Linked DNA regions of Coturnix japonica. The protein of the gene in region 4 purifies or fractionates together with the protein of the main gene of each other region. This does not show direct contact. Links are inferred from orthologs where the notes say so. Each region holds a gene or a part of one and is shown on either strand. Other genes may lie near its edges.

Evidence for each region.
Region 1: the proteins of EXOSC10 (region 4) and EXOSC9 purify together in Homo sapiens (co-immunoprecipitation; 7 studies listed by BioGRID and IntAct, with this or other methods). This does not show direct contact. The link is inferred for Coturnix japonica from reciprocal best matches to the Homo sapiens genes EXOSC10 and EXOSC9.
Region 2: the proteins of EXOSC10 (region 4) and EXOSC1 purify together in Homo sapiens (co-immunoprecipitation; 8 studies listed by BioGRID and IntAct, counting the BioPlex papers as one, with this or other methods). This does not show direct contact. The link is inferred for Coturnix japonica from reciprocal best matches to the Homo sapiens genes EXOSC10 and EXOSC1.
Region 3: the proteins of EXOSC10 (region 4) and EXOSC3 purify together in Homo sapiens (affinity purification with mass spectrometry; 8 studies listed by BioGRID and IntAct, counting the BioPlex papers as one, with this or other methods). This does not show direct contact. The link is inferred for Coturnix japonica from reciprocal best matches to the Homo sapiens genes EXOSC10 and EXOSC3.
Region 5: the proteins of EXOSC10 (region 4) and EXOSC2 fractionate together in Homo sapiens (co-fractionation; 9 studies listed by BioGRID and IntAct, with this or other methods). This does not show direct contact. The link is inferred for Coturnix japonica from reciprocal best matches to the Homo sapiens genes EXOSC10 and EXOSC2.
Region 6: the proteins of EXOSC10 (region 4) and EXOSC7 purify together in Homo sapiens (affinity purification with mass spectrometry; 6 studies listed by BioGRID and IntAct, counting the BioPlex papers as one, with this or other methods). This does not show direct contact. The link is inferred for Coturnix japonica from reciprocal best matches to the Homo sapiens genes EXOSC10 and EXOSC7.

The regions. Positions count from the first base shown.
Region 1 is NC_029519.1:48,282,348-48,287,292, reverse strand, and holds the start of EXOSC9 (exosome complex component RRP45), read left to right. Parts: upstream 1-1,981; 5' UTR 1,982-2,051; coding exon 2,052-2,117; intron 2,118-2,258; coding exon 2,259-2,353; intron 2,354-2,567; coding exon 2,568-2,687; intron 2,688-2,911; coding exon 2,912-3,014; intron 3,015-3,391; coding exon 3,392-3,529; intron 3,530-3,701; coding exon 3,702-3,784; intron 3,785-4,019; coding exon 4,020-4,152; intron 4,153-4,249; coding exon 4,250-4,338; intron 4,339-4,521; coding exon 4,522-4,668; intron 4,669-4,945. UniProt on the Homo sapiens protein: Non-catalytic component of the RNA exosome complex which has 3'->5' exoribonuclease activity and participates in a multitude of cellular RNA processing and degradation events.
Region 2 is NC_029521.1:19,501,908-19,506,056, reverse strand, and holds EXOSC1 (exosome complex component CSL4), read right to left. Parts: upstream 2,367-4,149; coding exon 2,336-2,366; intron 2,263-2,335; coding exon 2,147-2,262; intron 2,017-2,146; coding exon 1,942-2,016; intron 1,789-1,941; coding exon 1,700-1,788; intron 1,546-1,699; coding exon 1,512-1,545; intron 1,377-1,511; coding exon 1,326-1,376; intron 1,228-1,325; coding exon 1,143-1,227; intron 974-1,142; coding exon 867-973; 3' UTR 740-866; downstream 1-739. Other genes in the region: palmitoyltransferase ZDHHC16, read left to right, coding at 2,365-2,633, 3,786-4,038. UniProt on the Homo sapiens protein: Non-catalytic component of the RNA exosome complex which has 3'->5' exoribonuclease activity and participates in a multitude of cellular RNA processing and degradation events.
Region 3 is NC_029521.1:3,509,285-3,514,113, reverse strand, and holds EXOSC3 (exosome complex component RRP40), read left to right. Parts: upstream 1-1,624; 5' UTR 1,625-1,655; coding exon 1,656-1,931; intron 1,932-2,004; coding exon 2,005-2,154; intron 2,155-3,098; coding exon 3,099-3,250; intron 3,251-4,478; coding exon 4,479-4,680; 3' UTR 4,681-4,769; downstream 4,770-4,829. Other genes in the region: DYDC1 (DPY30 domain-containing protein 1), read right to left, coding at 312-383, 925-1,047, 1,160-1,306. UniProt on the Homo sapiens protein: Non-catalytic component of the RNA exosome complex which has 3'->5' exoribonuclease activity and participates in a multitude of cellular RNA processing and degradation events.
Region 4 is NC_029536.1:3,559,626-3,564,586, reverse strand, and holds the start of EXOSC10 (exosome component 10), read left to right. Parts: upstream 1-1,986; 5' UTR 1,987-2,011; coding exon 2,012-2,173; intron 2,174-2,899; coding exon 2,900-3,036; intron 3,037-3,734; coding exon 3,735-3,858; intron 3,859-4,032; coding exon 4,033-4,137; intron 4,138-4,324; coding exon 4,325-4,490; intron 4,491-4,961. Other genes in the region: serine/threonine-protein kinase mTOR, read left to right, coding at 81-161, 364-469, 1,042-1,057. UniProt on the Homo sapiens protein: Catalytic component of the RNA exosome complex which has 3'->5' exoribonuclease activity and participates in a multitude of cellular RNA processing and degradation events.
Region 5 is NC_029532.1:4,557,591-4,562,595, forward strand, and holds the start of EXOSC2 (exosome complex component RRP4), read left to right. Parts: upstream 1-1,907; 5' UTR 1,908-1,946; coding exon 1,947-2,071; intron 2,072-2,144; coding exon 2,145-2,246; intron 2,247-2,424; coding exon 2,425-2,470; intron 2,471-3,612; coding exon 3,613-3,702; intron 3,703-3,906; coding exon 3,907-3,972; intron 3,973-4,121; coding exon 4,122-4,190; intron 4,191-5,005. Other genes in the region: PRDM12 (PR domain zinc finger protein 12), read left to right, coding at 160-542. UniProt on the Homo sapiens protein: Non-catalytic component of the RNA exosome complex which has 3'->5' exoribonuclease activity and participates in a multitude of cellular RNA processing and degradation events.
Region 6 is NC_029517.1:39,619,015-39,624,078, reverse strand, and holds the start of EXOSC7 (exosome complex component RRP42), read left to right. Parts: upstream 1-1,637; 5' UTR 1,638-1,713; coding exon 1,714-1,770; intron 1,771-1,872; coding exon 1,873-1,974; intron 1,975-4,159; coding exon 4,160-4,254; intron 4,255-5,064. UniProt on the Homo sapiens protein: Non-catalytic component of the RNA exosome complex which has 3'->5' exoribonuclease activity and participates in a multitude of cellular RNA processing and degradation events.

The DNA.
Region 1 (4,945 bases), on a different chromosome or scaffold from region 4:
AGGTGGTAATCAGAGGTTCAGGCTGTGATCAACAGTTTTTCACACACAGAGGGCACTTTGCCTGCAGCCTGACAGAACAAGGCAAAAAACAGTTAGCATGAAGGCCCAGGATCAGATTTTTTCCTATTCTCCTTCTAAGGCACAATTCTAAGTGTATGCCTGTATGGGAAGTTGGTAATCACAACTTGAACCACTGATTAATCAGCTGAGGCAAGTGTCGGGTCAGCTGTGGGAGCACAGGTGAGAGTAATTTAGCTGTGCTCCTGGAAGAAGTGGAGCTTGACTCCAGCTCCTCTAGACCTCATTTAAGGGCTGACCACCACTAAGGCAGCATCTCTTGGAGGTTGTTTCCTGGTGGAGATTGACTCAGCATTTCCTAGTGAAGGCATCCATATTGTTGAGTTTTTCCTTATAAATAACCTTTTGAGTATTGGTTACCATCTTTGTATCATTCCACCTTGCAATGCCCCTGTTGCCTTTTCTATGATTAATAGAGGGTAGCATGGTCTAGGAGCCTCCAATAAACCCTTGTAACAATTTTAGTATGTAAGTACCTGAAGAGAGTTTCATGAAAAGCTGTTTCATATTGAAATGCAAATGCTTCACAAAACTGGTTTTCATTCATCTGCACTACTGAGCAACCCCTTACTGCAAAAATCCCACTGTCCATATAGTCTGCAAGAATAGTACAACTTATTAGCTAATGTGGATGACTTGTTGAGCAATGCATCCATTTCCAGATTTCAATTCTTTTTCACTGGTAGACAATATAATGTTTTTTGTAAGAGTATTAGAGAGATGGTAAGCATTATCTTCCCTTGCAAATGCAGCAGTTATAACAAAACAGTGCTAGTGAACGAGATCCAAGTAGAACTGATTAATTTATCCTTCCCAAGATAAGCAGCATGCTGAATCAATAACAGTGACAGCTAAGATACCCAAGGAAGCCCTGATACTTCCTGCTAAATATCTGAACTGCTGCATTAGTCATGCACAGAATGTCCATTTAAGCATGAAATTCAGCTCTCTCTCTTCTTGCACAGAAGCTACGAGAATTAAACTGCACTGAAAAATGCTTAAGCTTAATTGCTTGCCTGCTGTGGTCGACCTCAATGCAAACGCTGCAGGTCCAGTTTTCACACCTGGAGCACAAATACCAGTGATTCCAAATACAGTTGGCAGTAAGTCATTGTACTTTCCAACCCTCTCCTCCCCTCCCCCCAAAAAAGAGAAAAATAGAAAAAAGGAAAAGGGAGGTGGTGGGGAAAAATAAACAAACCAAAAAAACAAAGGGACAAGGGGGAATGGTTTTAAACTGAGACGGGAGGTTTAGGTTAGATATTAGGAGGAAGTTTTTCACACAGAGGGTGGTGACGCACTGGAACAGGTTGCCCAAGGAGGTTGTAGATGCCCCATCCCTGCAGGCATTCAAGGCCAGGCTGGATGTGGCTCTGGGCAGCCTGGTCTGCTGGTTGGTGACCCTGCACATAGCAGGGGGTTGAAATTCGATGATCACTGCGGTCCTTTTCAACCCAGGCCACTCTATGATTCAGTGAAAAGGTGGAAAGAAATAGCAAGATAAGTTGATTTAATGTGGGCTGGTTCAATAACAGTGAAGATTTCTCATTGAAGAGAAGTGTTTACTTCTACTGTCAGGCAAAATGACATTGAAAGGCTCTACAGAGGGATCTGGATAGGCTGAATCAGTGGGCTGAGACCAACTGTATGAGCTTCAACAAGACCAAGTCCTGAGTTTCAGGAAGGGAGGTCACGGTGAGGTGAAGTCGGCCTCTTCTGGGTCACAGTGACAGGACAAGAAGGAATGCCGTCAAGTTGCACCAAGGGAGGTGTAGGCTGGGTATTAGGGAAGAAGGAATTCCTCTCACAAAGAGCACTAGGCGCCTGCACCGAAGAATCGCGTCCGCCCACCGCCAGGGGGCCCCATTCAGCAGCTCCGCCGGCCGCGCTCTGTGGTGAGGCGGCTGGAGCGGCCGCCGCGTGTTGATGACGTCCCGCAGCCGAGCTCACGCCGTCCGTTTGTGGGGTCTGCCATGAAGGAGACGCCGCTGTCCAACTGCGAGCGGCGCTTCCTGCTGCGCGCCATCCAGGAGAGGAAGGTGCGGTGCCGGACCGGCCTCCCCGTACCCTGCCCCGTACCCTGCCCCGGGCCCTTGTCGCCTCAGCTGCGGGGCGGCGCGGCCCGGCGTGGTGCGCTGACCGCCCCGTGTGTGTGTGTGTGTGTGTGTCTGTCCCCGCAGCGGCTGGACGGGCGGCAGTGCTACGACTACCGCAATGTGCGCATCTCCTTCGGGCCCGAGCGCGGCTGCTGCGTGGTGGAGCTGGGCAAGACCAGGTAGGAGCGGCCGGGGGTCTCCGGGCTGGGACACACACAGCTCTATGCGCATTCACCGCCCTCAGGGTGAAGGAAAGGAAACTTGAGCTGAACAACGAGAAATGTGTTAGAAAACATCCACATGGGTCTTTGTTTTTTCTTTATATGTTTTGTTTCCATCGTTAGGTATTTTCTTGCTAAGCTTTCTGACCTAGCTGCTTATTTCCTTCTGCAGGGTCCTTGGGCAAGTCTCATGTGAACTCGTTCCCCCGAAGCCAAACCGGGCTACAGAAGGGATTCTGTTCTGTAACCTGGAGCTCTCACCCATGGCTGCACCTGGCTTTGAGCCTGGCAGGTACGTCGCTTTCTTAAGAAGTCCAGGCAAGGATAATGGTGCAAGTGGTAGAAGTGCCGCTCTGCTACACAGAGGCTCGAATCCCAGGGGTTGGACTTGATGATCTCTAAGGTCCCTTCCAACCCGCACGAGACTGATACTGTGATAATGTATGAACCACTGCTTGGACACGCACAAGTATGTACCATAATGATGTTGAATTTGGGTTGATTTTGTTTGAACAGGCAATCCGAGTTACTGGTCAAAGTGAACAGACTGATAGAACGATGCCTGAGGAATTCCAAGTGTATAGATACAGAATCCCTCTGCGTTGTTGCTGGTGAAAAGGTAGGAGAAAACTACCAGTCTCAAACCATTGCATAGAATCACTGAGCTTGGAGAAGACCTCCAAGATAATCCACTCCAACCATCCACATAGCACCAATATTTCCCCACTTAAGCCACGTCCCTTAGTTATACATCTAAATATTTCTCGAATTCAATCACATATAAACATGTTTAATGATTTTAAACATAAAAGTCACTTTTTCAGGTGCTCTGTCTTGTTTTGAATACTGGTCTTTTTTCATCCTAACTCTTAAATCAAATACTCGAGGAATGTAAGCTGCTCTTTTTTGTGATTCAAAAACTGGAAGTGTCTTGGAAAAGCAGGAGCTTCTGTGGAATTATGTTACACATTGCCAGTTATACATGTTTTCCCTCAGGTCTGGCAAATCCGTGTGGATCTGCACCTGTTAAATCACGATGGTAACATTATAGATGCTGCCAGCATAGCAGGAATCGTGGCCCTATGCCATTTTCGCAGACCAGATGTTTCTGTGCAAGGAAAAGAAATAACGGTGGTAAGTCATACCAGGTTTACCTCCATAAGTCGTAAATGGGAAGTATTATACAAGGAGAACCAAAAGAGATTTTTTATTAATATTTAGTTGACTAGACTTTTTTTCTTTGCTTTCTGTTTCTTTACATTGCTCTTGCACAATGTAAGTAACCAATAACCAATTCTTTTCTCAGTACTCTCCTGAGGAACGTGATCCTGTGCCCCTGAGCATCCACCACATGCCTATTTGTGTCAGTTTTGCCTTCTTCCAGCAGGGGTAAGAATTCTTCTTAAAGCTCTTGACAGAAACAGCTTATTGTCAGTTGTGCAAAATTATTGTTACAGCACTGTGAAAATACTCTTGTTGACAGACAGCTTTCTTAACACGTTCATACGTGTTCTCCACAGTGTGATAGTAGCCAGCAGCTTGCACAGATAGGAAGAAAACTGTTACAAGGGAGTCAAAGTCAACCTCAAACTTCTGTTGTCTTATGTTAAAAACTTGGTTCTAGGACGTATTTGTTGGTGGATCCAAATGAACGAGAGGAACGTGTGATGGATGGTCTCCTTGTAATTGCCATGAATAAACATCAGGAAATTTGTACCATCCAGTCTAGTGGAGGGATTATGCTATTAAAGGATCAGGTAAAAGTCAAGGAAAACATTTAAGGATCTGTTCTGTGGTTCTATTTTAAGTCATGTTTTCATGATTCTAAACTGTTACCGTGTATGTAACGTACAGGTTCTGAGATGCAGTAAAATAACAGCTGTGAAGGTTGCGGAAATAACAGAATTAATTCAGAAAGCTTTGGAGAACGACCAGAAAGTGAGGTGAGTTTTTGGGGAAGGAATGGAAAGTACTTTGAAGAACTGATTGAAAAGTTAATGCCAGTTTATAATGAAACAGCAGGTTGTTTCTGTTTGTAATCATTTCAAGTATTACAAGTATGGAAATGCTTGCTATATTCATATATGTGAAATATCCTGAAATAACGTCTGTTGTTGGATGACTAGGAAAGAAGGTGGGAAGTTCGGCTTTGCAGAATCGATATCAAATCAGAAGATCACTGCCTTCAAAATGGACAGTGCTGCTGTAGATACCAACAATGTGGAAGAACAAGCAGAAGAAATCATAACTAAAGCTGACCCTCCTTCAGAAGTGTATGTTTTCTATTCGTTATTCCAGGGGGGAGTTTTCCTCTTATCTGCACTGGCCCTTCTAGAAGCTAGTAAGACACTCAAGCTATCAGATGGCTCCGGGTGGCCCTATAGCCTTCAGAGGAAACAGCCTTACACTGATTTTAGTTCTAACTGCTTTTAGCTAACTGGATTCTTAACAGAAAGTGCAAAACAGGGCTGAAGTAACTAGTTGTCTCACCACGTGGAGAAAGATCACGCTTTCTTAACTTTCATTGAAGGCCTGGGGAGAAAAATTACA
Region 2 (4,149 bases), on a different chromosome or scaffold from region 4:
GCTCCACTGCTTTAACTTATTGCTTTTGGACAAGGGAAGGAGCGTGTTGTCTGGGATCTGTATTTGCCATGTGCTTCCTCCAGCCAAAGCCAACTTTAGTCCTGCATCATGGAGGTGGTTAGATGCCATTGTGTACCCATCCCACAAACGTCTACTTGGCACTGTCACTGTAGCCTCCCCCACTGCTGCTGTAGTGAGTCTGGGCTTGCACTGGGTCAATCTAACTGTCCAGCGGTAGCAGTTGTCTTGTTCCAGTTCAATAAAAGATGAATATGCAATAATTAAATGTCAGCGTTTCCTTGTGCCACTGCGCCACGTGGAGCTCCCACTTTGCCTAGCACCGCATTTCCTGCACCACCACGTGTCTGTGATGCGCAAGTTGCTGCTGACTTGTGGGTGCAGAAGGTGCTCAGACTGCACAGCAAAGCACAGTTCTGCAATCCTCGCTGCAAAGAGTGATTCACTGCAGTGCTTTATGGGCTCTGGGCTGTGCCACACCTCTGCCTAACAAAGGGCATGTATGGCCTGAGGTGATAAGCCATCCTGGGGATGAGCACAGCAGCCATAGATGGTGCTATGTACCACTAAGCCTCAAAGCCTCGCTGCTCCCCAGGACAGGAACAGACTTTCTCACTCCCACACTGATGGGAGAAACAGCCCCCTCCAGCAGCTCCAGAGCAGAAGGGCTACAGGCAGCCAGAGCAACCCCTGCGGGCAGTGACTGAGCAGAACACAGAGCTCTCAAAAAAACCACGTTTATTTATTACTTACAGCACAAATACAAAACCCATCCTGCTGTATGGAAGATGCTGGACCCCACCATAGCAGCTCTCTTTCCTGGGGTCCCTGTACCCCTGAGGAGGCTGCTATGTCTGCAGGAACTGAGGCTGCACACGGGCCACCTTACGGAAGTCCTTGGTGTGCGTCTGTGGGCACTGCATCTCACACCAGCTGATAGGCACCATCTGCACCCCTGCAGGCATCCTCAGTTAGCAGATCCCTTCCTGCTTTGTCACACTGCCCAGCCCCAGCAGCCCAAAGCCTCCTCGTGCAGCCCCTGAGGCTCAGCAGTGGGAGGAAAGGAGGGTGTTTGCTCCCCATGCTGCACTGGCTGTTCCTCACATGGAGATGAGGATTCCTACCTGCGTCGCTGCGTGCCACCACCACACCCAGCTCGTTCTCTGCCGTGCTCAGCAGGTAGTTGGACTGTGCATCCCCCAGCGAGATCTGGTTAGGTTTGTGTTAAGGGAAAGACTCCCTGCCTCTATAGCCCAGCACAAACCCTCCAGGCCCGTGGGCCCTCCCACTGCGATGGGAAAGGATACGACTTTGGCCAGGACTATGTCACCGGGGCGGAAACTCTTGTAGACTTCTACCTACGTGGGAGGGAGTGGACAGGAGTGCATGGAGAGCGCAGGTACTGCTCGATAGGCACCCCATGGGCAGCAGCACGAGGGGAGCTGGACAGGGGGAAGCTGTAACAGCACTGTACCCAGCAGTGCCCCGCTGACCTTATCCTTTTCAGTAGCTCGAATGTCTTCCCTCCTAGAAAAGCAGACACAGGAATGTGATACCAGAGAGAGCCAGGAGGAGCTGCCCCGGCCTCCCTGGACGGCAGCCAGGCCTCGCTAGATGCATCCACGCAGCTGTCCTCGCAGCAGGCAGGCACCGCGCAGTGTGCCCCCTGCCCTTTCCCTACCGTATGGTGCCACGGAAGGTGGATTTCAGCGGCGTGGAGCCAACGTACAGGATGTTCACTTTGGCAAACCGGGAGTTGATGCTGCACACCTGCACCAACGGGCGGCGGGCACTCAGCGCCCGCGCAGCGTGGGCCGGGCCGGGCCGGGCGGCTCCTTGAGTGTCCGCCGCCGTCCGTCCGGAGCTCCGTGAGCCGAGCACACGGCCCCGGCCGCGGGGACACGTGGGGACAGCGGCACCCACCTTACACGTCACCACGGAGCCCACGTCGGGCAGCAGCTGCGCCTCTGCATCCCGCACCACCGACACCACGGGCAGCTGCGGGGCACAGACAGATGGATAGACACACAGACACACACACAGACACACACACACACACATAGACACACACACACACCCGGTCTCAGCCCGGTCCCGCCCCGTTTCCCGTTCCCCGCCGTGCTCTCACCGCCCCGTCCCGCTCGCAGCGCCGCACGCATCCGCTCAGCGCAGCGAAGATGTTGCCGTTCCGCACGTAGGTGCCGCTCCCCGCCGCGTTTCCGTCCGCTCCGCACAGCCGTTCTCCTGCGGGTCGCTCGCTCAGCACCGGTCCCGCACTTACCGGCCCGTCCCCCCCCGCCGCCCGCCCCGCACTTACCGGGCACGCAGTACCGAGCTGGTGGCGCCATGTTCAGCGTCGCGCGTGAGCCCGCAAAGAACCCTCCTCCTATTGGCTCTCAGCGACGGGGCCGCGATGTAAGCGGCATACCTATTGGTTCTCTTTTAACCTCAGGGAGCGGCGGTGTCGCGCGGCCCGCTGGGAGTCGTAGTGCGGCGCCTCGTGCCGGCCCTGCCCGCTGTGCTCAGTGCGCAGGCGCGGGGCGGCGGGCGCTGCCCGGTGCCGTGAGGGCGGCGGGAACCGGGCATGGCGGCGGGCGGCGGGGAGCGGGCGGCAGGTGCGAGCGGGAACGGGAACGGGAACGGGATGGGTGCGGCGGGGCGGGGAGCGGGGCACGGAGCGGGGCGGGCCCGCGGCCTTGGGGCGGCGTGACCGGCTGGCACGGCCGAGGGCAGCCCTGAGCCCAGCACGGGGTCACCGGGAGCGGGAGCTCATCACCCGCCGTGCGGCCGTGCCGGTACCGCTGTGTCCCGGTCCCGCCGTGTGCCGGTTGTGCCGGTTGTGCCGGTCCCGCCGTGTGCCGGCCGCTCGCTCTGTGTTCCCGGGCCGTGTGTTGGCGCTGGGCCGTGCCGCTGCCTGGCGCGGTGCCGAGCGGAGCGCTCGGTTCGTGCCTTGGCCGCATCCCGGGCCGGCCGTGCCGTTAATATTGATGGCCCGGGGGCCCTGACCCGGCGGATCGTTTGCCTCATTTCGGGCCCGGCTCGGGTTCCTCCTCGCTCCCATCGCGGCCCTCGGGTGGGATAAGAGGCTCAGCGGGAGGACGAGGGCTCGGTGCGTCCCTCTGCTGTCCGAGTGCCCGCAGCTCGGCCTGGCACAGCGCAGCGTGGCACTGTCCGGGGAGCTGCTGGGGTCGGTGTGCGATGGGCTCTGCAGCTTGGTCCGGGGCTGAGGCAAAAGGAAGAGCCGTCCAGGTGCTGCTGGGTGTGAGGAACAGGGCACGTGTTTTGTGCGGGCTCCCTCACTCCCGAATCCATTAGCAAAGGCTGCTGAGGGGATCCCCGTGGGTTTGGAGCGTTCCCTGCCCTGGAATGAGCTCTTCGCCCCATGTGCCCTCACCGTCTCCAGTTTCCTCTGAGTCAGACTCTCCGTGTCGCTCCCCAACCCCCTCCCCTGTGGGAAAGACGAGATGGGAGCAGGGAGCACCCGAGGTCAGGCGCGGAGCCTGACAGCCCCGTGTCCCCCCTCCGCACACAGAGCTCGGGAGCGCAGCATCCCTTTGGGCTCAGCGCCACCCGCTTCTGCTCCGCATCCTGCGCAGGGTGAAGGAGCCCTGCCCCGCCGTGCAGCCTGACACCTGGCCTGCCCACACCCAGCATCTGCCCACATCCAGCATCTGCCCACATCCAGCATCTGCCCACACCCAGCATCTGCCCACACCCAGCATCTGCCCACACCCAGCATCTGCCCACATCCAGCCCCTTCCCCGCAGGTTCGGAGCAGCAGGGATGAGGAGCCGGCAGCGGATGTTTGCGGCGGTGATGCGCCTGCTCCTCAAGTGCCTGCGGCTGGGCCGGCGGCGGCGCTTTAAGCTGGTTCGGCAGGCAGGGCAGCTGTGGCACTATGGGCACCTCTGCCTCCGCTCCCTGCTCTACAATTCCTTCACCAACGGCGACGTGGTGCTCGACTCCCTCTTTGAGCCCATCTACTGGCTGGTGGACCACGTCACCCGCTGGTTTGGTGTGGTGAGTACCTCCATTGCGAGGGGGGTTTGGGGCGGTTCATGCTGCTGGGGACACCGAGTCCTAGGGAGGGAGCGAAGACGCCAGCATGGGGCAGGTTCTGCACACTCCACT
Region 3 (4,829 bases), on a different chromosome or scaffold from region 4:
TCTAAGCATTCATGTTAGACACGTTCAAGTTCTAGTATTTTATTAATTAAAAAAAAATCTGAACTTAAGCTACATTTTATAATAACTTTATGCTCTGTTCTGAATAAAAGCTAAAGAAACCCAATAGAACAGATGAGAATTCAAGTCTAAAACCTAAGCTGGAAAGAAGCATTAAACGTTCTTCCCTAATGTTAGCTTTCTGTTTTGTTGTGTTCAAGGCTTCTGCCTTGTGTTCTGTATTTAGGGACTGGATCTGAATAAGAGAGATGATTAACAATATTTCTTTATCTTGACTAAGCTTTGGCTTAAACCTCTGGATCTTTCTGCTGCTCCTGCATGTTCTCTTCTTTATTCTGCTGTTCCATCTTCTCACGTTCTTGTTCCTATTGTAAAGAGAAGACAGCTGAAGATAGCGTATATGCTTTTGATACTCAGTTCCTCGTGCTCTTTAGTAGTTAATATTTATATCTCCTATACTTTGGATTAGGCTCTTTGAAGCTTTGCACAGCATCTATTATAGACAGACTAATCCATATAGATTCTATGGGAGGAAAAAATAGCTAAGATAGTTAACTGCAGAAGACAGTCTACTTATCCTAATCTAATTTTCTAACATATCTTTAGTTAGTTTCTCTTTAGCTTAGTCTCTTCATTTTTGGTAACATCTTGTCATGTAGCAGGTAAGTTTTTCTCCCCAGCTGCTCAGCTGTCCTTTCTAATTCCTTTCGAAATAATGATATTTTCAAAACGCAATGTTTAAGCACTTTTTGTTATCTTTTCCCTTTCAAGATCAGAATACAATTGTAGGTACTTTCCAACATTCTGATTCTCTTATGATTCTATGTTGATAATGACTACTATTGTAGTGAGAGCTACAAGTTGACCCAGCATCACACGCTACTATAATTATGAACAACTATTAACCTGCCGTTGTTCTTCAAGTTTCTGTTGTATCAGTAGCTCTTCTTCCTTCATTTTTCTTAACATTTCAAGTTCTTCCAGGGCTGCCTGCCGTTCTTTTTCCAGTTTGGCCCTTTCCAACGTTCTCTATTTCAGAGGTAACAAGAAATCAATGAAAAAAAAAGGAAACAAAACACAAAGAGAGATTATACAGCATCAGTTAGATTGACATGAAATGCTTTGCCCGAGGTAGACCCACCTTCTTTTCTTCTTCTAGTGTTTTCTTGTAGTTGTAGATCCAGTGTGCCAGGTACTCTATTGGGTCAGCGGGCCGACGCTCCACAACCTCCGCCAGACCCTTTTTCAAGCAGCTTCCCAGACATCTCCTCAGGTATTGAGACTCCATTCTCACCTACTGACAAACCGACAGATATTAGTCACCGATATCGGAATTCAGACAGCAGTTAGAGGAAGTGTTGACTGCATCACATCCCCAGTGTGATGTTGGTGGTTTTATCAAAGCTCATTTCATCAGGCAATTAATATGAGAAGGTGGTAGCGGTGCTGTCCCCCGTTCCCTACCGCTTCGCTCCTACCGGCCCGATCGCACAGCGCGTCCAACCGCGTTACCGGGCAACCGCGCTCCCGGCTGGATCCTGCGTCAGGCGGCCGGGCGGTGTCGCTGTCGTTGCGCTCTCGGCCCTTCCATCGCCGCCGCCATTTTGCGTCTGCTTCCGCCGGAAGGGCCGCACGCGATGGCGGGTGGGGGCGGCGTGCCGGCGGAGACCCGTGTGGGACAAGTGGTGCTGCCCGGCGATGTGCTGCTGCTGCCCGAGCACGGAGAGCCCGACCTCGACAAGCTGCCGCTGGGCACCAGCGCGGCCCCGCGGGGGAGGCTGCTGTGCGGGCCGGGGCTGCGGCGCTGTGCGGGCGGGCTGCTGGTCACCAAGTGCGGGCTGCTGCGGCACCGGCAGGCGGGCGGCGGAGCGGCGGCGGGCGGCGCCTACTGGGTGGACTCGCAGCAGAAGCGGGTACGGCGGCAGCGGGCGGCGGGGGGCGGTGATGTGCGGGACGAGCCCGCTGATCGCTTGTACCCGCTTGTAGTACGTGCCGGTGAAGGGAGACCACGTTATCGGCATCGTGACGGGCAAGGTGGGGGACGTGTTCCGGCTGGACGTCGGTGGTAGCGAGCAGGCCTCGCTGTCATACCTGGCCTTCGAGGGCGCGACCAAGAGGAACAGGCCCAACGTGCAGGTAACGCTGCCCGCCGGGAGCTTGCCTTTGTAAACGGTGTTTTTACCACTCGGACCATATAAACGAGGAACGTGACTTTTTTCACAGAGCTTTTGTCATGGCCTGTACGGGGTGTCCCGATGAGGCCGTGAGTTTTTTCTGTTTTCTCCGGAGCTTTTTGTGCTTCTTCACTTCTGACCTTACACCTTTCCCATCGGTTAACAGTGGCAGGTGCTACTCGTGCAGTAACGTGGGTCCCAAGGGGCCACCCTGAGGCTTTAAAGCATCCTCTGAACGCTGGTGCTGGTAGAGGAGGGTTTGCTTTGTAGCATTTACAAGTTGTTTTGTGATATGTGCGTTCACCAGAAACACTGTCAGCATGGTGTAAAATGGGCTGTGATTTTAAATGGAATAGACTGGTATGGCTTCTGGTGCGCCTTCTGAGTAAAGAATTGTTTCCTAACATGTAACCTTTATCTCCCCTCTGTTAATTCAAAGCCATTCCCCCTTGTCCTGTCACTACTAGGCTATATAAAAAGTCACTCCCTATAAGCACTGGAAGGCTTCGATGGGGTCTATCCAGAGCCTTTTCCAGGCTCAACAAGCCTAACTCTCTCAACTTTTCTTCACACAAGAGGCGCTCCGGCCCTCTTCTGACCCATTCCAATGGTCTTGTGTCAGGGGCCACAGGCTTGGACAGAGTACCCCAGGTGGGGCCTCACAATGGCAGAATAAAGGGGTCAGTTACCTCATTCACCCTTCTAGCTATCTTTCTTTGGATCCAGCCTGGGATCCCATTGGCCTTCTGAGCTGCAAGTGTACGCTGCTGGTTCTTGTCCAAGTGTTCATCCAGTTTACAACTGTTTTGTTGTCTCTTTATGGACTGAATGTTTCTTACAAATGTGCATTGTTATCTTCTCTAATGATTCTTTTTTTTTGTTGTTTTCTGGCACTGCTTGCTTTAGGTGGGAGACCTTGTTTATGGTCAGTTCCTTGTAGCAAATAAAGACATGGAACCAGAGATGGTCTGTATAGACAGCAGTGGAAGAGCAAGTGGAATGGGAGTAATTGGACAAGACGGCTTCCTCTTTAAAGTTTCCTTAGGTCTGATAAGAAAGTAAGTACTAAGAAAACCAGTTGTACTAAAGTGTTGGGGTTGTTAAACTTAGCATGTGTCTAAACAACACACAGTCATTAGCTCCTCTCCCTCCAGACCCTGTCCTGCTTTTCCCTATAGGCTTGGGAATAGAATCGATTAAAAAACAGACACAAAGTAGAATTCATGGGTTGAGATAAAACTGTTTACAAAGAGAAAAGAAAACAAGATACTACTTAAGAGAAATACATATATGTGAATGTATATAGGAAGTTACCCACTGACTGATGCCCAGCTAGGCCCCAAGCAGCAGGAGAGAGAGAAAAAAGGACTCATGTCCCATTCAAAACTTTCCTTTTGCGTAATGTTATATGGTATGGAATATCCCTTTGGCCACTTAAAGTCAGCTGTCTTATTTCTATCCCTTCCCAGCTGCTTGGGTGCCCTGCCCTGTGCTTCCGAGATCCTTGTTAGTTCCCCATCCCCCAGTTGGTAGGATGGTAAGAGAGAGTGGGGAAAAATGAAGTATGCTTGGCTCTGTACAGCAGTGTTCAGCAACAGCTGGAAATACAGGTGTATTATCATTGTTTTTCTCCTAAAACCAGAACAGCATCTTAGCAGGCACTGAAGGAGAGACAATTGTGTGCAGCTGAAACTGGAAGAGTAACATTTTGTTTTTAGGTAGGATATGCACAGCTGTCTCCAATTCAAGTAGTGTGAACTAGCCAGTAACTGCTATGTGGCTGTTGTGCTGCATTTATGCCAGTTTTACTGGGGAAAGGATGCATGTACATTGAACTAGAAACAGTGTGTGACTATCATAAAATACCAGCTGATAGTGATAAGAGATGGTCAGACTAGTTGTTGCTTTGATGTTGAGGGAGGAGAGGTGAGCATCTGTTCTTGGAGATAACAAGTAGCTATGTCATACCTGGGTTTAGTAAGTAATTTGGTTTATGTGTCTTATCAGTGTGAACAGCTAAGTTGTTTTTCAGCCTTGTTCTTGGTAACTCTTCTGCCTAATTAGGAAAACAGCTACAGTGCACAGGTGCTCTCTTTAGGTGCATGTGTTTTGGGAGGAGAACTTCAATTCTGATATGGCTGGATATGCAATTTGAATCGTCTTAACTTTTGGAGTTGCTTTTGTAACTCCAGTGCTACTGTTTAGCTGCTGGCTGATAATGTTGTAATACTTAGCGAACGTGAGCATTCACTTTTTCCTCCAACCCTTTCTAATCTTATTTTACAGACTCTTGGCTCCCAAATGTGAAATAATTCAGGAGTTGTCCCAACTGTACCCAGTAGAGCTGGTGCTGGGAGTGAATGGAAGAATATGGGTAAAAGCAAAAACAGTTCAACAGACTTTAATTATAGTAAATATTTTAGAAGCTTGTGAGCATATGACTGCAGAGCAGAGGAAACAAGCACTCGCCAAACTGTCGGGGAATTGAGTAAAAGAAAGTCTGAAGGTTTGCGATTGCTGTAGGATGTTCTGCTTATTTTTGTATTCAGATTTATATTAAAAGTCACACTAAATGAAGTCCTAGATGTTTTTGGTGGTTCTTCTGTTCCCTTTATGCACTCAGCTGGTCCTACCGTA
Region 4 (4,961 bases):
AGATGTAACAGCAGCACTAATGCTTTTATTGTTCAGATGACATCCTAATTCTATGGGTTTTTCCTACTTCTGTCTTGTAGTAGGAGATGGCCTCGTGAAGCCGGAAGCTCTAAATAAGAAAGCAATTCAAATTATCAACAGAGTTCGAGATAAACTCACTGGTAAGCACATATTTATTTATTGAAAACGTGATGAGATGGATCAGCACCACTTTTAATATTTATATTTTGTGTTAGTCCTGTAATTTATATTCAGTAAGGGAAGGGGGTAATACAAGTCCCATCAGTCCTGAACTCGCCATCTAGAAGTTATGTTTATGTCACCTGATTTCCATTCATGTTTCTTCGTCCCTTAATTTCCAAGGTCGAGACTTCTCTCACGATGAAACTCTTGATGTACCCACACAAGTAGAACTGCTCATTAAGCAAGCTACTTCTCATGAGAATCTGTGCCAGTGCTACATTGGATGGTGAGTCTGTCATTCAGCTAACAGTGCAAAGTTCTTCTCTGAGTGATCTGGAATTAATAATTTGAGCAGAGGGAAAGCCAACAAAAACATTAGTTCTGGTGTATTTAGTTACGTATGGAAGCCTTACCACATGTTGCATATGAGCTCGTACATTTTGCAGGCTTATGGCAGAGATCCCTTAGACAGACCGTTGTAAGAATGTAAGTTGTGATAAGGAGTAATGGGAATGTAGAGCATTAAAGCTGCAGTCAACCTGAACACTTAGTGTTGGAAGTAAGGCATATGTTGGTCACTGATGTCAGTTACAGTGAAGATCTCCATATTCTGCAGCAAACATAAATGATTTAGTTGCACATTTGTCATTTGAGAGAGATAACATCAGACTATGCTTAAGGAAACAGTCCTTAGTTTTAAGCATTTAAGCTGTGTGTGGGGGGATCACCTGCCAACTTTTCCTATACTATTTCCTATACTATGTCTTCTAAACGGAGCCTTGGCAGTCTCAGTCCTTCTCAGCACTGCCTTTGTGAAGCTGCACTGAGCATCACCACCCTATTTTTGTTTCCTTTTAGGTGTCCTTTCTGGTAACAGAAGATCCCAAAGTATCCACAGCCTTTTTATTCTGGAGGCTTTTGCGCTCCAAACTTGCTCTTCTACAAACACAAACTGAACGTTGGACTGATATCCAGCCTTTGTCAAATAGTTTGAACTGTAAATGGAAAGAGTTATTGTATATTAACAAGTTGGTTTAAGCCAATTTATAGCTGCTATTGGAAAAAAAACACGAGCTGTCTGGAACACAATAGCTGATTTGGGTTTCCAAGGACAGTGAAGACTGATTGTACTGCAGGTGTCAATGGTTCCACTGGGTCTTTGGGGAACTGGTAAATATAACTATATACGGGTTTGGAATTACTTTGCAAAGTAAATGAATCATTTGCAGATGGATTGCTGCCCTGAATGGAATATTGGAGCAGATGTTAAGAATTTCAGACCTTCATCTGACCATAACCAGGTGCCTCTGTGCAGATCGAGCAGTGCAATGAGACACCGCTGGGGAGCTCTGTGTGCAGATTAAAAGGGGAACGTGATAACTGGCATAGGAGGCAAAAGGGGGAGAGCTGGTCATAACTTGAAATGAAATAATGGTTATAATAATAACATGGGAGTGGAGGAAGTCGTGAATTATGAATAAAAACAATGCACAAAATACAACAGAGTAGCCATGTTTAGATGCCATGTTGTATTTGGATATTTTTGTGCCAATAAATTACAGCAAAACGTGGCACCGTGGGGCTGCGTTCTTGTTTGTTCCTAAGTAGCTCTTAGGAAGAGACAGGGATGCAGGTAACAGGTTGCAGGAGGGGTCGCTTGGGGTGGGTGGGGGTCGCATGCAGCGCGGTCCGCCAGCCGCTAGGGGGCGCTATGTATAAGGCTTGGTACTGTCTACCCGCCCGCATGCGTTGCCCATCTCCCATCTTCCTCTCTCGGCCCTGAAGCTCTCGCGAGAGTTTCCGTGCGTCTGGTGGCTGAGGGGACAAGATGGCCGCCGCCGTGGCTGAGGGGAACGGCTGCGCGGTAGCGGGGAGCAGCGCGGCCCAAGGGGGCAAAGGGGGGCAGGGGGGACCGCCCGTGGAAACGGAAAGAGACGGGAGCACGGCCACGGTGCTGCCGGGATTCGACGACGTGGACGCCTTCGTGAAGGTGCGGGGCGGGGTGAAGCGGGAAGGGGCCGTGCACTACAGCTCCCGCCGGGCCGTGCGGTCACTCGGTGCCGTGATGTGGTTGGCATTGAAATAAAGCCCAGATCTGCGTCTGTGCTGATAAACCTCTCTCTAAACGTAAATCCTGGCACGACAGGCGTAGTGTTGTTATCGCTTTACTCTGTTTAACCTGATGAGATGGTGTGAATGAAACAACTGCCAACTTAGTCAATACCTGAAGGGAACTTACTCCCAGGAGGGGAGTAAACTCTTGGAAAGGGCTGATAATAGCAGGACACGGGGAAATGGTTTTAAGTTAAAAGAGGGAAGATTTAGGTTGGATGTTAGGGGGAAGTTCTTCACTAGGAGAGTGGTTAGGCCCTGGAACAGGCTGCCCAGGGAGGTTGTGGATGCCCCGTCCTTGGAGGTGTTCAAGACCAGGTTGGACGGGGCCCTGGGCAACCTGATCTAGTAAAGGTGTATGTTTGGTGGCCCTGCCAGGCAGGGGGGTTGGAACTACATGATCCTTGAGGTCCCTTCCAACCCGGGTCATTCTGTGATTCTGTGTGTGATTCTGTGATTAGTCGTGTTAAAAAACACCCAAACAAACCAAGGCCTTGCGATGTGTTGGATGTAACCGCACTGTTCGCACACACACAGGGATGGAGGTTTGTCAGCACAGTGTGCAGCAGGGCAGGCAATGCACTAACACGGTGTTCTCACACAGCACGCCCTCGGCACCATGGTGGCCACCACGAAGGCATCCAGCGGGCTGCCCCAGCCTGGCGATGAGTACGACTTCTACCGCAGCTTCCCTGGGTTCAGGGCGTACTGTGCAGCTCAGGGACATCGGCTGCTGCAATGGTAAGGAGACATCACAGCCCCGGCAACTGCCAGGCCCAGACAGGGGATTCTATGGAATCTCCAGGCTGGTTGGTGGTAAAAAGGATGTTTTAGGTCATGTGTCGAATTTTAGCTGAGTTGCCTTTAATGGTGTTGATGGGAACAAACTGCGAGTGGGGACTGTTGTGAAATGCTCTGGGAACAGCCGTTTAGTATCTAAAGGGGTATATAAGAAAAAAGGGGACAGATCTGATAGAACAAGAGGAATGAGTTTCAAACTAAAAGAGGGGAGATTTAGACTGGATATAACAAGGTTTTTTACTGTGAGAGTAATGAGGTGGTGATGCTCCATCTGTGGACACACTCAAAGTCAGGCTGGAAGGGGCTCTGAGCACCTGATGGAGCTGTGGGTGTCCTTGTTCATTGCAAGAAAGTTAGACTTGATGCCTTTAAAGGTCCCTCCCAAACAGTTCTGTGATCTAGAAAGTTGTTTCATAAAGAAATCAGTCCTATTAGTACTAAATAACTCTTAGCACCATGTAGGTGTTTCATACATTTGCTTTTTGTATGTTATTATAAGTATTACATTTGATCTGCTTTCAAACTTCTGCGATGTAGAAAGTTGAGAAGAATTGCATGGTTCAGTGTTCAGTTAATTGTTATTATTGTTGTTATTATTATTGTTTAAATCCATAATAACTGTGCTGTTCTCTTGCAAGCATGAGCAGGGTGATGCAGTACCACGGCTGCCGCAGCCACATGAAAGACCGCAGCAAAGTCACGGAGCTGGAAGATAAGTTTGATATGCTGGTTGACTCCAATGACATCATTCTTGAAAGAGTGGTGAGCAAATCATTCCTTAACATTACTTGTATAAGGTATTCAGGTACCACAAGTGCTTTTTGTTAAAATAATTCTACTGTTAGTGCTTTTGCAGTTATGTTTAATGTTTAGCATAGTACAGTAACTGAGCGGGTGTTTGATTTTCATTTTTGTTGTTTTTTTCCTGGAATTTAGGGTATTTTACTGGATGAAGCAGCAGGAGTGAACAAAAACCAGCAGCCTGTCCTTCCTGCTGGGTTGCAGGTGCCACAGACGATCGTTTCCAGCTGGAACCGCAAGGTGAGGCTGCTGCTCTTTTTCCCAGCACTGGTACTGCAGTTTGCCAGTGGATTTTAGTAGTTAAATGTTCCCTTGGACTTTTTCATATGTCCTCACTCACCTCCTTTTTCTCGCAGTACTGGGGTCAGTGAATGGAAGATGCTCTGGATGTCTGTTAAGTCATGTTGGTTTGCTTTCTTTTTAATAGGCAGGAGAATACCACAAAAGATCTAAGTCTGAAACCTTCCGACTGCTCCATGCCAAGAATATCTCTCGCCCACAGCTTAAGTTTCGAGAAAAGATTGACAATTCCAACACTCCCTTTGTACCTAAGCTTTTTATCAAGCCAAATGCTTTGAAACCATTGGCTGAAGGTAAGTTTTTTTGTTGTTGATGGGTAATCAGTTGAGAGTGTTTGACACAAATCTGTCCTGACAATCCAGAAGAGGAAATATTGACTGTAAAAGCAAGCAGGAGCAGATGTTGACTATTTGGATGAGATTGCTCTGTGACTCCATTGTTTATGTATGTGCAGTGTAAGATTTGGTCAGCATACAACATCTTTTTGTTGGTATACAGTAACTAATCTGTTCCCAACAGATATTCTGCTGCTTCTCTTTGCCACCATTGAATTTCCATGAGAGTCCCCCTGGCAGGAGGAGTTTTGTTGCTTGGTCTGTAAGTCTGCTTGACTTTACAGATACCTTTTCCTAATAAGTTAGAAAAGGAGATACACGATTAGATCTGCCTTTATCAAAGCTGCCAGTGAAACATCTCATCTCAGCAAGGTGTCACATTTCTGCTGCTGATTCACCTCGAGTCTGCACTGATGTGGATGTAGTTTA
Region 5 (5,005 bases), on a different chromosome or scaffold from region 4:
GACTGGAGCAGGTTTGTTACAGCCACAGATCCCCACTGAGAGCTGCTGGTCACAACATTGCTGTGGGTGCAGTGTGCAGCATGGGGTGGTTATATATGGCACAGAAAGGGGTGTGAGCAGGGCACAACCTGACCGTCCATCCCCTTGTATTGCTCGCAGAGGACTTCCATGCAGTGGAGACCGGGGCCAGCACCACGGGTCGCATGCGCTGCGTCATCTGCCACCGCGGCTTCAACTCCCGCAGCAACCTGCGCTCCCACATGCGCATCCACACCTTGGACAAGCCCTTCGTGTGTCGCTTCTGCAACCGGCGCTTCAGCCAATCCTCCACCCTGCGTAACCACGTCCGTTTGCACACCGGAGAGCGGCCCTATAAGTGCCAGGTGTGTCAAAGTGCCTATTCCCAGCTGGCCGGGTTACGGGCGCATCAGAAAAGCGCCCGTCATCGACCCCCCAATGCATCCCTGCAGGCTCATTCGCCTGCCCTACCCGTGCCCCATCCCGCTTCCTTGGCCCATCACATCCCCACCATGGTGCTGTGAGCCATGGAACGGCAGCAGCACGTTTCTGGATGGTCGCTGCCCACGTGCAAAGACTGGCATTGAGATGTGTGAGGAACTGGGAGCCCGTGGCAGAGCCGCTGCTCTGAGTTTGCATTGGGAGCATCAGCGTTTCCATAGGGTTTGGTGGGAAAGGGAGAATGGGAGGGCACGGCAGGACATCCCGTGTGGATTTTGCTGGTGTGTTCGGAGCTGCGGCTGCACCTGGATGAATCAAGGTTGGGTTTTATGGATCATTTGATAGGAAGGAAAATTGCTTTTGTCCTTTCTCCTCTGTGCCAGCGAGCGCCCAGCAAGGAGACGTGGCACAGCATCACTGGGACCATCAGCTTTGTCTGTTCAGCCGAGTTGGGTTTTCCTCCCTCTATCCCCAGCTGTGCCATGGGGTTTGTCTACATGCCACCAAGGGATGGGAGGCTGAGATGGGCTGTGAGACCCCCGAGGTCAGGCTGCCCGGGGCTCTGAGCACTGTGTGTGTAGGGAGTTGGACCAGGCGGCCTTTAGGAGGGGTTTGAGGGGGGTCCCTTCCAACTTGGACCATGCAATGACGGCCCAGCAGCTGCTCAGCCCCATCCAGCCCTAAGGGAGCGCTCAGCTCTGCTGCCCTCTGGGGACCGCACAGCCCGGAGCGGCTGTTCCCATTAACTTGGAAGGTTGTTGTGTTCATCCTAAATCCGAGGTGTATAAAAGCTCTCATAAAAATAAAAACACTGCGTTTTACTGCCAGAAAAGGGAAAAAAAGAAAAACCCAAGAAGGAAAATATATAATAACCCGTCACTTTAACTTTGTAAATATTTATGTAAAACATTATTTACAAGCCTTTGATATTCTATATTATGGGATTGTATACGCACAGCGCTGTAAATACATTTGTACCTCTCTCTTGTACTCGAAATAAAAAGCGATTCGGGACCGAGCGTGGTTTAAATTGGGGGGAGGGGGGGGCTGTGGGTCCAACCCCATTAATGGGTGCTGGGACCCATAGGGAGCACTCAGCCCCATAGGGATGGATGGGACCCATAGGGATGGATGGGACCCATAGGGATGTATGGGACCCATAGGGGGGCACTCAGCGCCATAGGGAAGGCTGGGACCCATAGGGGGGCACTCAGCCCCATAGGGATGGATGGGACCCATAGGGGAGCACTCAGCCCCATAGGGATGGCTGGGACCCATAGGGGAGCACTCAGCCCCATAGGGATGGATGAGACCCATAGGGGAGCACCCCCTGCCCCATTCACATCGCTGCCCCCCCCCAACCTCCCTGCCAGGAACCAAAATGGCCGCCCTGTACCCAACCCACGTGACTCTCGTTACGGCCCTCATTCAAGATGGCGTCCGGAAGTCACGTGTAACCGCAAGGCGCAGTTCCGCCTTCAACCAAGATGGCGGCGGTGTCCATGCGGCTGCCCGTGATCCGTAAAGCCGTGGGGCCCAGCCGGCCTCGGGGCGGCGAGAAACACCTGGTTGTACCCGGAGACACCATCACTACGGACACGGGATACATGAGGTGGGGATGGAGGAGCATTAGGGGACGGGGCAGGCCGCGGTTTGGGCTCTAATGGCGTCCGTTCTGTCTGCAGGGGACACGGCACCTATGTGGATGAGGAGAAGCTCGTCGCCTCGGTGGCTGGAGCTGTGGAGAGGGTGAATAAATTGGTGTGTGTGACACCGCTACAGAGCAGGTGAATATAGGGACGGGATGTGCAATGGGATGGGTAATAATGGTGTGTAATGTGTGTTAATGCTGTGTAATAATGCTGTGTAATGTGTGTTAATGCTGTGTAATAATGCTGTGTAATAATGGTGTGTAATAATGCTGTGTTAATGCTGTGTTAATGCTGTGCTCTGTCCCACCGCCAGGTACAACGGGGAGGTCGGAGACATCGTGGTCGGGAGGATCACGGAGGTGAGGAGCTGGGAGGACACGGGAGAACGTGATGAGGTCTGACAAAGAAAGAGTGAGATGCTGGAGCACAGAGAGCACTGTGCCATGCAGAGCTGCAGGAGGGCGTTGGTGGCAACCGTAGTGCCCATCCGGATCCATTGTAATGAGCTGCCGTCCAGTGCGCCCATAGGGGGAACAGGGACCCCACACTAAAGGGGGGGACACATAGGGATGGATGGGATCTATAGGGATGGATGGGATCTATAGGGGATGGATGGGACACATAGGGATGGATGGGACACATAGGGGAGTACTCAGCCACATAGGGATGGCTGGCGCCCATAGGGATGGCTGGGACCCATAGGGGAGCACTCAGCCCCATAGGGATGGCTGGGACCCATAGGGGAGCACTCAGCCCCATAGGGATGGCTGGGACCCATAGGGTTGGATGCATGCAGTGCAAGCTGTGGGACAGGGAGGTGGGCATGTCCTCGTGTGAGGCCCCATCTGTAGCACTGTGTCCTGGTGGGGCATCCTCGGTGCAGGATGGACATGGATCTGTTGGAGCACATCCACAGGATGACCGTAAAAGTGATCCGAGGGATGGAACAGCTCCCTGCGGGGACAGGCTGAGAGCTGGGGCTGTGCAGCATGGAGAGGAGATGGCGCTGGAGAGAGCTGAGAGCAGCCTGTCATTATCTAAAGTATCTTTCTGTAAGGAAGAAGGGGACTGACTTCTTAGCAGGGTCTGTTGTGATAGGACAAGGGGAAATGGTTTCAGTCTCAACAGGAGAGATTTACATTCAATATAAGGAGGATGTCTTTTACAATAAGGGCAATGAGGCGCTGGCACAAGTTACTCAGGGTGGTTGTGGTTGCCTCACCCCCACAGACATTCAGGATCAGAGCTGGACGGGGCTCTGTGCACCTGAGGGACCTGCAGGTGTCCCTGTTCATTACTGGGAGTTGTACCAGGTGGCTTTTAATGCTCTTTTCCAACTGAAATGATTCCTTCTCTGACAGCCTCTGCTGCACTGGCCGGTCATTTCTTATGGCTGTCACAGTGCTTTGCTATAGAGTCAGTCATCTGCATGACTTCCCACTTAGATTAGAGACTTAGTTCATTTTCTGAGTGTACATTAACGTTGTTTTTTCTTCACCAGGTTCAACAGAAACGATGGAAAGTGGAAACCAATTCCAGGCTGGATTCAGTCCTGTTGTTGTCGTCTATGAATTTACCTGGTGGGGAACTGGTGAGCACAGTTTGTGCAGAGAAGGACCACAGTGCTGCAGGGCAGGATGCTCTGAGCCCCTCCTGCAGTTAGCACACGTGTGGTTTTGACTTCCCATGCATTTTGCACAGTGTCCTAAGGAGATGATCCTCTCTTTGTGTTGCTGTTAATTAATGTTTTCTCATTCTACGTGACCCATAACTTTTCTTGCATTGTCCATTTTAGAGGAGGAGATCAGCAGAAGATGAGCTTGCAATGAGGGACTATCTGCAGGAAGGGGATCTCATCAGTGTATCCTTTCACTGCTTGTACTTGGACAGAAGAGTCAAAGGGATTGGAAGGGGGAACAGCCAGACCTCAGGCAGGCAGGGAAAGCTCTGTTGGTGGCTGTTGGTACAGGGCAGCATGAAGAAGTCTGTTTCCTTAAGAGGCACTGACAGGCAGAGGTCCAGTCTGTGTTTTCAGATGGGGCTGTATCACTGCACACCAGGAGTCTGAAATATGGGAAGGTATGTTGTTCAAAAGTCTCATTTTGTGCTGGTTGGATTGTATGAGTCTCTAACCCTTGTGCTTAGTGGTCTGTTAGAGGGTCAGATCTTGTTAAATACAGTGCAGTTCTATCCATGTCAGTAGAATTTCTTTGTATTTATATCGAGATAGCATCAGGATAGAGGTTTGGGGGGAGATCCTTAAGGAATAAAAGGCTCTGCAGTAGAGTATGATATTATAGCCCTTGTCAGTAGGTTAGGAAGAATTTTAGCTCCTACATGGGAGCTCAAAGCAGAGTTCCTCATTGCACACATTCCCTCTGAACTGCTGCTGTCCCTCTCCACAGTTACTGCATGAATCCATTTCTCCCACCAGTTGCTTGGGACTTGAGCTCTGGGAAGAAAAATCTTCTATCTCAAACTTTATCGCTCTTCTTCTGCAGGTCATTGTCCCCATGGCTTGCTGCTCACTCCAGGGCTCTATTTTAGGCTTTATGCAGTTGGCATTTATCTCTGTTTTTGCACATTGAAATAAGCCAAGGGGGCTGCAGTTGGGATTACTAGACCAAAGGTATTAGCACTTAAAAGATAAAAGCAAAATGTGCTTTTTGCACAGAGGGTGAAGGACAGAGACTGGATTAAGAGGGAAAGTGTTCTGCTGAATTGGGCCTCTCGCTCCTCGTTTTTCTGCAGGATGGTTGATGTCTAGTTACAATCAAGACATTATTAACATTTATGCTAAGCACTGAGAGTATTCTTCATCTTCAAAGGGCTGCACAGGGCATTAGCTAATCCTCCCAGCACTCCCAGAGGCAAGCAGGTTTTATATTCACCGT
Region 6 (5,064 bases), on a different chromosome or scaffold from region 4:
CCCCCCGCCCGCAGGCACACCGCACCGCCGCCGCTTTCCAAACCGATAACCACCCGGAGGGAGCTCACACACCGTACACCCCAGCGAGCACCTCGCTCAGCGTCCCGCGGGGTGACAAGCCCCGCTGGGCCGGAGGCAGCGCTCGGAGCCGCGTGGTACCCGGGACACGCCGCGGTGGGGCAGGAGGGAAAGAGGGGAGGGAGGGCAACGTGGGCCTCCCCGCAGCCCATGTCACGGCCCGCTCTGGAAGGCGCTCCCGGCCGCATCCCCCTTTACCTCACCCCACCCCACCCGTAGCCCCGCGGTCCCGTGGCTCTGCCCCGCCACCTACCCGCAGGCCGCCGCCCGCCGCCACCTCCCATCCGCCCCGCCGGAGCGGGCGCCCCGCGCGCGGCACTGGGCCCGGCGGAGCGCGGTTCCCCCCCCCTCCCCAAGCGCCGTCCCCTTACGCGATCCCGGCGAGGAGGTGGGGCGGCAACGGAGGAACCAGGAAGTGGCGGCTGGCGGCCGGCGGCCCCGCCCCGGGCCTCGGCACCGCAAAGCCGGGCAGCAGCAGCCGGCACCTGCGGATTTAGCGGCCGCTGCCTGCGCTGCTTGCAGCTTCACCGGGCAGCGTGAGCCCCTGCGTGCCGGGCGGCTCCATCACGGTCTTTTTCCACTTCCAGCTGGCTAAAATGAGGCAGAAGGCATCGCTTTGTCCTTGTTATAAACGACACCGCATCCTGTGAGCAGCGAGGAGCTGCTGGCTGCGCTTCCAGTCTGGGATGGATGGCAGACATGGAGGAAGGAATGAAGGAAGGAAAGCTGCCCCTCCTTGTGTCTGAGCGCTGTGGGTGCAGCTGGGAGCCAGGCAGCACCAGCGCCATAACCTCACAGAATGACCCGGGTTGGAAGGAACCTCAAGGATCATGTAGTTCCAACCCCCCTGCCTGGCAGGGCCACCAAACATACACATTTACTAGATCAGGTTGCCCAGGGCCCCATCCAACCTGGTCTTGAACACCTCCAAGGACGGGGCATCCACAACCTCCCTGGGCAGCCTGTTCCAGGGCCTAACCACTCTCCTGGTGAAGAACTTCCCCCTAACATCCCAAACCTCACTGTGCCCTTAGTGGGCACCACTCAGCGCACCAACCAACATACAGGAGAGCCGTGCTGAGCGTATGGCACCTACAACGTGAGCTAATGGAAGCTGCCACAATAAACACCCCTCAATTACAACGCAGTGTCAAACTGGAGCCTTTAATCGCATTCCCACACCACCAGCACGATGTCTCGGGTAAAACTCCGCATTTCTCCGCGGTCTGACAGCCAGGAGAACCTCAGCTTCATACTCGGGTACCCTCATAGTCTCATAGTCTCGTGTGGGTTGGAAGGGACCTTAGAGATCATCGAGTCCAACCCCCGGGATTCGAGCCTCTCTGTAGCAGAGCGGCACTTGTACCACTTGTGCCACAGGGGGGATTCGAACTCCGGGCCCCAGTGTTGCAAGGCGGCGTTCCTACCACTGCGCCACCGGGGCACACAACCCTCAGGTTACTTTTACCTCAGCTAAGGGCACACACACACACAGGGCCGACCCCACCGCCCTGTACAAGGCGCTGAGGCGACCGGCGCCATTTCCCGCCTGCGGAAGTGCGGCGGTGCGCAGGCGCAGAGCTCGCCTCCTTCCGAGAAGCGGAAGCGGAAGTGCTCTGCAGCGCGCGGGGTGTCATGGCGTCCGTAGTGCTGAGCGACGCGGAGAAGATGTACATCATACACGGCGTCCAGGTAGGGAATAGTTGCTTGTCATCTTTGGTGATGTATTCGGCACGGGAAGCTTGAAAAGCACAGGTTCCTTATGTTCGCGATTACGTTGGTTGTCGTGTTTAGGAGGACCTCCGTGTGGATGGCCGTGGCTGTGAAGATTACAGGTGTGCAGAAGTAGAGACAGATGTGGTGTCCAACACGAGTGGATCTGCGAGAGTGAAGCTGGTAGGTGAACGGCTCAGGAGTCGTCTACATTGCTGATAAAACTGGCTTGTTTCGCTTGGCTTATGATAAATAATTGCTGCTTGTAAATACGTCCATGTGTGTCTCCTCATATGTGTCTAATATGTTGCTCCAAAAACAGCCCCTCCTATTTTATGATGTTGGCCCACAGTATCATAAGCAGATGTTGGTGGTGTGGTAGTAGAGGTTGAACCTTCCCAACAATATTTCATTCTATTGTGTTGCCCTGTGACTGATGACAGCAGATGTGCAGTCTGACAGAATGGTGTCTGACTTGGAAATGCAAAGATGTGGTATTGAATTATGTCGTGTTGAAACGATTGTCCCTGTTGGCATTCATTGTCGCATGCTGAATGCTGATGGAGACCCAACAGCGAACGTGAGCACAGTGAAGCGGGGCCCTGGGCAACCTGATCTAGTGAAGGCGTATGTTTGGTGGCCCTGCTAGGCAGGGGGGTTGGAACTACATGATCCTTGAGGTCCCTTTCAACCCAGGTAATTCTGTGATTCTGTGTGGTGGTGCATTTCACCTTGTGAAATACAAGGCATGTTCTAGATGACCATGCACGGCTGTCATACGATGAAATGAACTGTCTTGATCAGCTCATTTGTGCAAATCAGCAGATTATGACCAGGGAACTGTGTACAGAGCTGAATATCAGCTTCATTGCATTAGAAATGATGGTGACAATGTTGGAATATCAGAAAATGCATGCCAGGTGGCTCCCATAAGTGTTCACAGAGGAGCAGAAAGAATACTGTATATCACACAGTATCACAGTCTGGTGTGGGTTGGAAGGGACCTTAGAGATCATCGAGTCCAACCCCTGGGATTCGAGCCTCCTGTGTAGCAGAGCGGCACTTCTACCACTTGCACGACAGGGGGGATTCAAAGTTATAAGTTTGTCAGGATCTCTTGAACCAATACAAGGCTGAAGGCAACAGTTTCCAGGATCACATCAGTAGTGATGATGAGATGTGGTGTCACCACTACGCACCGGTGAGAAAACGCAGTCCATGGAGTGGTGACATGTGATTCCCTATTGAAGAAAAAGTTCAAGAGATAGCCTTCAGCAGGCAAAGTATTGTGAACTGTCTCTTGGGATAGGAAAGAAGTGATCCTTTTGGATTTCCTGAAACCCAGACAAACCATCAGCTCTGACTGCTACATCATGACACTGACTAAGCTGAAGGCTTGAGCTTCCAGAGTCAGGCAGAGAAGAAGACACCTTTTCTCTTGCAATGCGATAACACCAAGTCCCATACCAGTTTCAGGACCCTGGAGCACGTTGCCAAATTTGTCTGGACTGTCCTACAGCACCCACTGTGTAGTGTGGATTTGGTGCCTTCTGTCTTCCACCTCTTTGGGCTTGATGGAAAATAGACTGCTCAGGCAATGCTTTCCTAGCAGTGGTGCAGTCATAGCTATGAAACAGTGGGTTACCTCTGCTGGTGCAGATTTTTATGAGTGCAGCATGCAGTCTCTTGTTCATCAGTGGTGAAAATGCAGAGTGATGGTGACTATGTTAATAAGGTTTTGTTGCTGAGAATCTGTTCAATCAAATAATGTTATTTTGCTCTTTGCACCTCTTATATTTTCTGTGGAAATAAATAGAAGACGTTACTTTCAGAGCGACCTATGCATGTATGTATGTGCTTAGCTCTAATTGACATGATAGGTTGAGGAAATAATGACAAGATATATGAATAATTCAAGTTAGCTTAATGCATTTGAGCTAAATTTATAGTGGAGTGCCTGAAAGGCCTTCAGTCTGAACTAATCTGCTATTGGGTGTTAGATGCTGTTGTGCCTGTCACTGGAAAAAATAATTCTGCTCCTTTACAGTGAAGCAAAACTACTTCTGGCATGTGTTGACTGTAAAGAAAACAATTATTTTTTGGCGGTATTATAAACATTCTGCAGAAATAACTGATCCAGAACTGCAATGATAAAAAGGTATGGCTATTAAGATTGTCTTATATACACAAAGAAAGCTGATATGTGGGCACAGAATTGTTCTCCTAAAGCCTTTCTGTTCTGCAATTCTCTAGTAGAGCAATTAGCAAAGACAACAGAATAGATGGTAGTGTCTGCATGCTGTAGGCATCTCAACTGAGTGTATTTTGCCCATAGTTCTAACTGTGTGATGTATTTTTGTTTTAACAGGGACACACTGATATCTTGGTTGGTGTAAAAGCTGAAATGGGGACACCGAAGTTAGAGAAACCAGATGAAGGTTATCTGGAATTCTTTGTTGACTGGTTAGTATAGTAGAAGAAAAGGTAATGGAGCAGTATGCATATACACTTTGCTTCTCACATTTGAAATAAAAAACCTAATCAGATCTGAAATGTGAACCTTCACTGCCCTAACCTGCTTAGTGTCTGAGTAACAGCAGCAGTTTATTTTACTGTCTTAGCTGTGCTGAATGTTCAGAAACATCATTTCAGCTTTGTAGTATCAATTGCCTTTTTTTTTCTTTATAGTGATTGAACATAGACAGTATCTTTCAGTAATGAAGCATTCCAAGTATTGACATGGGGGAAGAAAAGAATTAATTTATGGAGATTATACTTAAGACTGTATCTCAAAGGATTTTACTTACTTTGTCTTTGAAAGTAGTGTAAAAAGTGTATTTAGTGCAAGATCGTTTATTAAAAAGAATAAATTCTCATAAACTTTAGATACAAAGGTTGATTAGAACATGGTTTTATTGATCACATTTATCATCAAATCAGTATTTTATTAACTACAGTAATAACTGTTTTCAGTCAAAGAGTTTCACTGAGTAAGGATATGTCTGATAATCTTTTTGGTGTAACTGGTGCTATCTGCGTAAATGCTTTTGTATCTCAGGCATTATGCAATTTTATCTAAGAATCCATCCATTCATCACAGTCACCTGATTAGCTATGGAAACTTTTCGTTTGCCAAGGAAAGGACTCAGCTAGGAATTAGTTCATCTGTGACTATTGCTCAAAAAGCGTGAGACAGTAGGGTGTTCTTTCCAGATGTGGTCCTGTTTTTAGATAGTATCTGAGCTGACTTCTTTATAAAGCTCATGTATGAAA